2 linked regions of the Yarrowia lipolytica genome follow. The protein of the gene in region 1 binds, or shares a complex with, the protein of each later gene. Links are inferred from orthologs where the notes say so. Each region holds a gene or a part of one and is shown in the gene's direction. Other genes may lie near its edges.

Evidence for each region.
Region 2: YALI1_A21509g (region 1) and YALI1_B18764g share a complex: the UniProt entries of both Saccharomyces cerevisiae proteins name them as parts of the phosphatidylinositol N-acetylglucosaminyltransferase (GPI-GlcNAc transferase) complex. The link is inferred for Yarrowia lipolytica from reciprocal best matches to the Saccharomyces cerevisiae genes SPT14 and GPI2.

The regions. Positions count from the first base shown.
Region 1 is NC_090770.1:2,149,113-2,152,792, forward strand, and holds YALI1_A21509g (uncharacterized protein), read left to right. Parts: upstream 1-1,753; coding exon 1,754-3,058; downstream 3,059-3,680. Other genes in the region: YALI1_A21477g (uncharacterized protein), read left to right, coding at 1-60, 399-429; YALI1_A21499g (uncharacterized protein), read left to right, coding at 804-1,033, 1,163-1,439; YALI1_A21550g (uncharacterized protein), read right to left, coding at 3,060-3,680. UniProt on the Saccharomyces cerevisiae protein: Catalytic subunit in the complex catalyzing the transfer of N-acetylglucosamine from UDP-N-acetylglucosamine to phosphatidylinositol, the first step of GPI biosynthesis.
Region 2 is NC_090771.1:1,874,533-1,877,926, forward strand, and holds YALI1_B18764g (uncharacterized protein), read left to right. Parts: upstream 1-1,889; coding exon 1,890-2,894; downstream 2,895-3,394. Other genes in the region: YALI1_B18741g (uncharacterized protein), read left to right, coding at 1-1,365; YALI1_B18798g (uncharacterized protein), read right to left, coding at 3,113-3,394. UniProt on the Saccharomyces cerevisiae protein: Part of the complex catalyzing the transfer of N-acetylglucosamine from UDP-N-acetylglucosamine to phosphatidylinositol, the first step of GPI biosynthesis.

The DNA.
Region 1 (3,680 bases):
AAGCGATGTCGCCGCTGGTCTAGGTCTGCTGGCCTTACTTGGACTTGGCGTCATTTTGATGTGAGTATTACGACAACTACTAACCCCAAAAAATGATCAAGACGTTCTTGATTAATCTACATTTTAATTTTTCATTTTGGTTTCTTTTTCATGTTCGACATCTACTTTTCAAGTGGCTTCTTTTTCGCATTTTTCTTGGCACTCTTCCTCTTCATTCCTCTTCATTCCTCTTTATTCTCCTTTATTCCTCTTCTTCCCTTTCTCTTCTTCGTCTTCCCTTCTCTTCTTCTTGTCTTTGACTTCTTCATGTCTTTGACTTCTTCCTTCTCTTTTCTTACTCCTTTCTTCTTTTTTCCCGCACACCGACTTGTGTCGCTCAGCGTCCGTAGCTAACCCAGCCCCCACCTCACCAACTCCACCTCCACTTAATTAGTGTTGACAGTAACCGCTCGACGGTATTCTATGCCGTACCTCCGCTCTGTGCAATCTTCTAGAGCCCTCCCCCTCGCTTTCATATTCTTGTCTATACTAACCATTTACCTGCTGGCACTCTGCTCCTTCGTTATCACAGGTGCTAGTTTTATTTCAGTATTTATAACCTATATAATCTCAATCACGATCTTATGCCCTCACACTTCCATGTCCCTCAATTAATACTGATTTCATAAGGGCAGCCCGTGGGCGTATCGATAGTTTATGTGTTATACGGCGTGTGCAGTTTATGGAGGGACAGTGGTTATGGGCAGAAGATGTATAAGAGTTACAGTAGATACAAGTCGATGTAATTTCCAACCACACCAACAATGCCCTTTCTATCTAACCATCCCTGTGACTCCACCAGCTTTTCAGAGTTTTACGAGAGTGATGATATCAGGGACGCTTTCTACAGCAAGCCCAATACCATCTTCAAGCGTGACTACGTCGTTGGGCTCAACAGAGAGAAGAAGGCCTGTCTTCAGGCCGAGATAACCAAGAAATACAACTCTCAAAAGACAGGACGGCTAGGCTACCTTCCTGTTGCCAAGTGGACATGGTACGCCATTCGGTACTGTGAGCTCTCTAGTCCCATGAATCTCCTTGCCGGTAAAGAGCTCTGCTACCGCAAGCCCCCCAACAATGAAAACGTTGCCTTAGCCTGACCTACTGTTTCCTTGAAACGCAGCAAGCGGGTCAAGCGAAACAATCGACCTGGCCGTCTGAGAGCCATTGCTGTTATTATGGCCGAAAACAAGCAGCTGGAACGGGACTACACACTCTTTTCTCTGCCAGTGAACCTCTATCATTTAGTCGAGCTGGCCAGTGCACATGAAGAGACAATCACCAAAACTGCGGCTCAGCGAAAAGTTATCAAAAGAGAAAAAGAATTGCAACTCGAGCGAAAACAAATGGAACACCTCCGGTCCTCTAAAAAGGAGTTCCTTGTTGAAGGTATGGCCTAAGCCTAAGCCCAAAAAGTTGGGATCTACCCGTCTGTGTATTATAGTAGATATTGTATTATAGTGAAGAATAAGTGAAAACGTAGTCATATCAAGTGTTCTCCGGTGCAAAAAAGTCATGGACGACCACACACATACCATTCGCTTCGCCCATGATGTATGCTCATGTTTAAGTTGAACCATGCTCCGTTATCTCCGAACGGCCAATAAAGTTTCGGGTACACACCATGATGCAGTTCACGTGACGAGACGCGCATCTTTGGAATTACTTACGGCCAAAGACACACCAGTCGTAACATACCACCACAACGCCAACCATGCCGTACAACATTGCCATGGTATCGGACTTCTTCTATCCGCAACCAGGTGGGGTGGAATTGCATGTCTACCAATTGTCTCAACGACTCAAACAACGTGGCCACTCGGTAGTCATCATCACACACGCATACGACAGCCGAACAGGAGTGCGGATCCTCACCAACGGAATTAAGGTGTACTACGTGCCGTTTTTCGTGCTCTATCGAAACTCCACCTTTCCCTCAGTCTTCTCTGCATTCCCTATTCTTCGAAACATCTTCATTCGCGAAAATATTGACATTGTGCACGGCCATGGATCTCTCTCGTCTCTGTGCCATGAAGCCATTTTGCATGCAAGAACCATGGGCATGAAGACCGTGTTTACAGACCACTCTTTGTTTGGTTTTGCTGACGCGGGAAGCATCGCTGGAAACAAGGCTCTGAAATTCACACTGTCTGATGTTGGCCATGTAATCTGCGTGTCTCACACCTGCAAGGAAAACACAGTGTTGCGAGCATCTCTGGACCCTTCAATTGTCAGTGTCATTCCCAACGCCGTCGTCTCTAAAGCATTCACCCCTGATCCAACCAGAGCAGACCCCAATTACATCACCATTGTTGTCATATCACGTCTCTACCCTAATAAAGGAGCCGATCTGCTCACCGTCATCATCCCACGAATCTGCGCACTCCACCCACGCGTTAAGTTCCTCATTGCAGGTTCAGGACCCAAGGAAATCGATCTGCAGCAAATGAGAGAACGATACAGACTGCAGGAGCGAGTCGAGCTGATTGGTAGCATTCGACACGAAGAAGTGCGTGATCTCATGGTCACAGGAAACATTTATTTGCATCCAACTCTGACGGAGGCCTTTGGAACCGTCATTGTTGAGGCCGCTAGTTGTGGTCTACTTGTGGTCACTACAGACGTTGGTGGCATTCCAGAGGTGCTGCCCTCGCACATGACAGTATTTGCCAGCCCCTCGGAAGACTCACTGGTGGACTCGACTATGAAAGCGATTGCGATCTTGGAGAAGAAGGAGGTCGACCCAACCACTTTTTACAACGAAATCAAGGGCATGTACAAGTGGTCGGAGGTCGCAAGGAGAACTGAAAAGGTCTACGACTCAATCAATGAGGAATCGTTGAATGAGCCACTGTTGGACCGACTGGCAAAGTTCTATGCGTGCGGGGAATGGGCTGGAAAACTCTTTGTCATTTGCGTATGCGTCGATGTTATGTTATATGCTATACTGGAGTTGTTTTGGCCTAGACACACCATTGACCGAGTAAAACCTTGGCCTCGAGTCAAGTCTGGAGAATAATCTATTCCAAAAGCATGGCCTGATATCTCTCAAACTGCAGTCTTTGCTGTGCTGCGACATGTTTGGATAGCTGATTTCGAGGTCTCCAGCCAGTGGGATTGTCGTCGAGCTTCAACGGCGTGGCTGCTTGTGCCAGCTTCTGTAGCTGATGAAAAGCGGCCTGCGTTTTCAGAGGCAGATAAGGATGGGCTTTGACAATGGGGGGTTTCAGGTCTTCCATCCAATCGAGGTCGTCTCGACCCTTTGAGTTCTCCAGAGTCAGGTGTCGGACCGTCTGGCGCAGGCTCTGAAGCTCGGTTTCCATCTGAGACTGATGGAGCGTATTTAAATGCATATCTACTATATCTTCCCCCTTGAGCGTAGACAATTTGAGTCGGTTTTGGACATGAGTCTTGAACCTTTGGGCATCGGCGTTCTTCTGCTCCAGCTTGGCCTTGAGACTCTCCACATCATCACGAAGTCGTTTCTCCGTAAGAGCAGCTTCATTGAGGTTGGCTCGGAGTTGCACAAATGCCTCTTCCTTCTCGGCGAACCGTTCGGCTTTTGAATCGTAGTGCTTAATCTTGATCTCCAGAGTCTCAATGGTCTTCTCTTTCTTCAGCAGCACAGCCTTGAGATGCAG
Region 2 (3,394 bases), on another chromosome or scaffold:
CTGACTTACGTACACGGCCGTCAGCAGCGTCTTGGAAAAGCCAAGGCTGCTCTTGGAGGCGTCCCCCAAGCCGAGGCTGAGACTCAATGGAAGTCGTATGTCGGCCGAGAAAGAGCTCACCTGCGAAAGCGTCGAACCCGTCTCAAGCACGGCGACTTCCAGATCCTTACCCAAGTCGGCCAGGGAGGTTACGGACAGGTGTTCCTGGCCAAGAAGGCCGACACCCGGGAAATTTGCGCCCTCAAGGTGCTTAACAAGAAGCTGCTGCTTAAACTGGACGAAATCAGACACATTCTTACCGAACGAGACATTCTAACGGCTGCCCGGTCCGAGTGGCTTGTCAAGCTGCTTTACGCCTTCCAGGACCAGGAGTCTGTCTACCTCGCCATGGAGTTTGTCCCTGGAGGAGACTACCGAACTCTGCTTAATAACACCGGCATCCTCAACCCCAGACACGCGCGGTTCTACATCTCCGAGATGTTCGCATCACTGGAGGCCCTCCACAAGCTCGGATACATCCACAGAGATCTCAAGCCCGAGAACTTCCTCATCGACTCGGCAGGTCACATCAAGCTGACTGACTTTGGTCTTGCATCCGGAGCAATCTCCAAGGACCGAGTTGAAAGCATGAAAATTCGTCTTGATGCCGTCAAGGATGTCCAGGTCACCCATAGATCGCTCACCGAGCGACAGAAGATGTACCGGTCTCTGCGAGCCTCGGACATTAACTACGCCTCCTCCATTGTTGGCTCTCCTGACTACATGGCTCTGGAGGTTCTGGAGGGAAAGAACTACGACTACACAATTGACTACTGGTCTCTGGGCTGCATGTTGTTCGAGACTCTGGCCGGCTACCCTCCTTTCGCTGGAGCTTCTCCTGACGAGACATACTCTAACTTGCGACAGTGGAAGAACGCTCTTCGGCGGCCCAAGTACGATGATGGTCGATACGTCTTTTCGGACCGAACCTGGGATCTCATCCAACGACTCATCACCTCCGCTCGATACAGACTGCGGTCTTTCGACGAGATTGCCAAGCACCCCTACTTTGCCGAGGTTGAATGGGAGACTCTGCGAGAAAAGACTCCTCCCTTCATCCCCCAGCTCGACTCGGATGTTGACGCTGGCTACTTTGATGATTTCTCTAACGAGGCTGATATGGAGAAGTACCAGGAGGTGATGGCCAAGCGAACACAGGTCGAGAACCTTGCTGACAAGGGCAACCCCATCCCCCACCGAGCATTTGTCGGCTTCACCTTCAGGCACTCTCGAAACCCCAATAACAACATTCTGGAGGAGACCAACAAGGGCAACACTCACAGCAGGCGAGAAGTTGGACGAAGCAACTTTGGAACCATGTTCTAACTGGATGTTCTTTCACTCGCACTTGAAATTTCTCCCACATCTTACTAAATAGCTCGCATAGATTCCAGTGGTCAAGCTACCACATCAGTTCCGCGTTCCGCGTTCCGTTCCTTTCTAATATATCTGAGATTAACATAATATTAAAGCATAAACACCAGGACTCCGAGACATTCATCGTCTTAGCGAACAACTTACCTGTAATTACTATTCGGATATTATCACCTCAAAGATCAATCAACTTCATCGACCGATCTAAACGTCCCTTGCAGATCATGCACGTGTAGTTTAGCAGTCTTATTATTGCAGAGGGAATATGGGTTGATTTTGTGGTACCATAAATAATTTGTGTGGCATTCTTTTATCTACCTGTATGTTAAAAAGTTGATTTTCAACTTCAATGAGTCTTTCCGCCCACATTGACCACTATTATCACCCTCTCATGCTCGCTTTCTCGACACATCTGATGTTGTCCAACACCAACTTTAAGCTGACCTCTTCACCAAAGCTAATTTGCTGATGCCAACATGTCGCGCGGGATCCAGAAACTGAGGTCTCGAGCCACAGGAGAATGGACCGGAGTGCAGGGAGAGCCTTTAACGGAAGAATCGGGCTTTGATGATCCGGACGCCGTGTTCCCCGACTGCCAACCGACGACTCGTCCGCCATGGAAGAAACTATTGTGGGTCAAGCAGGACTACCCCGACAACTATGTGGACTCGTCTTTTCTGTCGCAACTGCGCCGAAACGACAATGTGGCTCAGTACTCGTTCCGCTCACTGTTTCTCGACTCTAGTGTGATCATCATGCATCTGTGCACTATCGTCGTCTTTGTGGTGGTGTTTTTGGGCATATTCAACCATGAGTGGGACCCCGAGTTCTTTGCGATCATCGCATCTGTGCTCACAGTGCCCGGATACTTTGTATACGAGAAGTACAAGATCCACAATGACGACAAGAGCCGACCCTCTACGATAAAGGGAGCGCTACTCATTGTATTTGTCCTTCTTGCTCTGTCACCAGTGCTAAAGTCGCTGACACGATCCACATCGTCAGACTCAATCTGGGCCATCGCCTGCTGGCTGGGGCTCGCTAACGTGTGTTTCCACGACTACACTGATGGAGCCCGCACTGCTTCAGGCGCGTCTTCGCTCAAATTGACTCGTCCTATTCTGTCAACAAATCTCGCTATGCTGGCAGCAATAGTGCTAGCTTCTCAACTGCGTACAACAATGGCAGTCTTTTGCTTCGTGCTCTTTTCTGTCATTCTCTTTGGAGTCTTCCCCATGTTTACACAATGGTGTCGTGCCACCTCCAGACGCGGGTACTGGGTGCTCCTGTCCATACTGCTGATCCTATCCGCTACAGGCCTCTATGTCATTGGAGGGCTGTGGGCACTGGGGGCCTGGATTGGAGTTAAGCTCTTTGTCAGTGTGGGTGCTCCACTGTGGCTTCTGGCCCTTCAGAAATACAAAAACGACATTCAAGGCCCATGGGATATTGCCAAGCCGGTCATTCGAAATCGTCCGTGACTTTCGATTCTCGAGCCACAGACACTGCTTATTTCCCTGCCACTTTACATCCACGTCTGTCAAGTGCTGATCAGACAACAATAGAACCTCTGTATTTAAACACACACACTAATAAAACCTCTTTTTCATCTGTAAACCCAGGCGATAAGGTCTATTTCTATTTCTACAAGCACTTGCTCATTTCTTGTTGCTAATATGTCAATTATAATACATTACACCTAACCATTGAAGGCTCCTCCAGCCAAACACAGATTCCTGCTAGTGAACTGCACCTTGTAAACCGGGCTGCTCTTAGTGTGGTAGACAGCCATATGATCGGGGGTTGCTACAATCTCCCGCTTCTTGGATGCCTCGTTACCCTTAGCAGAAGATACAGCCTCTGGGGCTCGTTCAACTGACAGGTTCTCAGGCTCAGGTCCAGACTCCACAGTGCTCTTCTTAACGTCCCACACTCGGATGCTCTGGTCTGCACCAGCAGACACGAGCACGGTTCCTTCCCT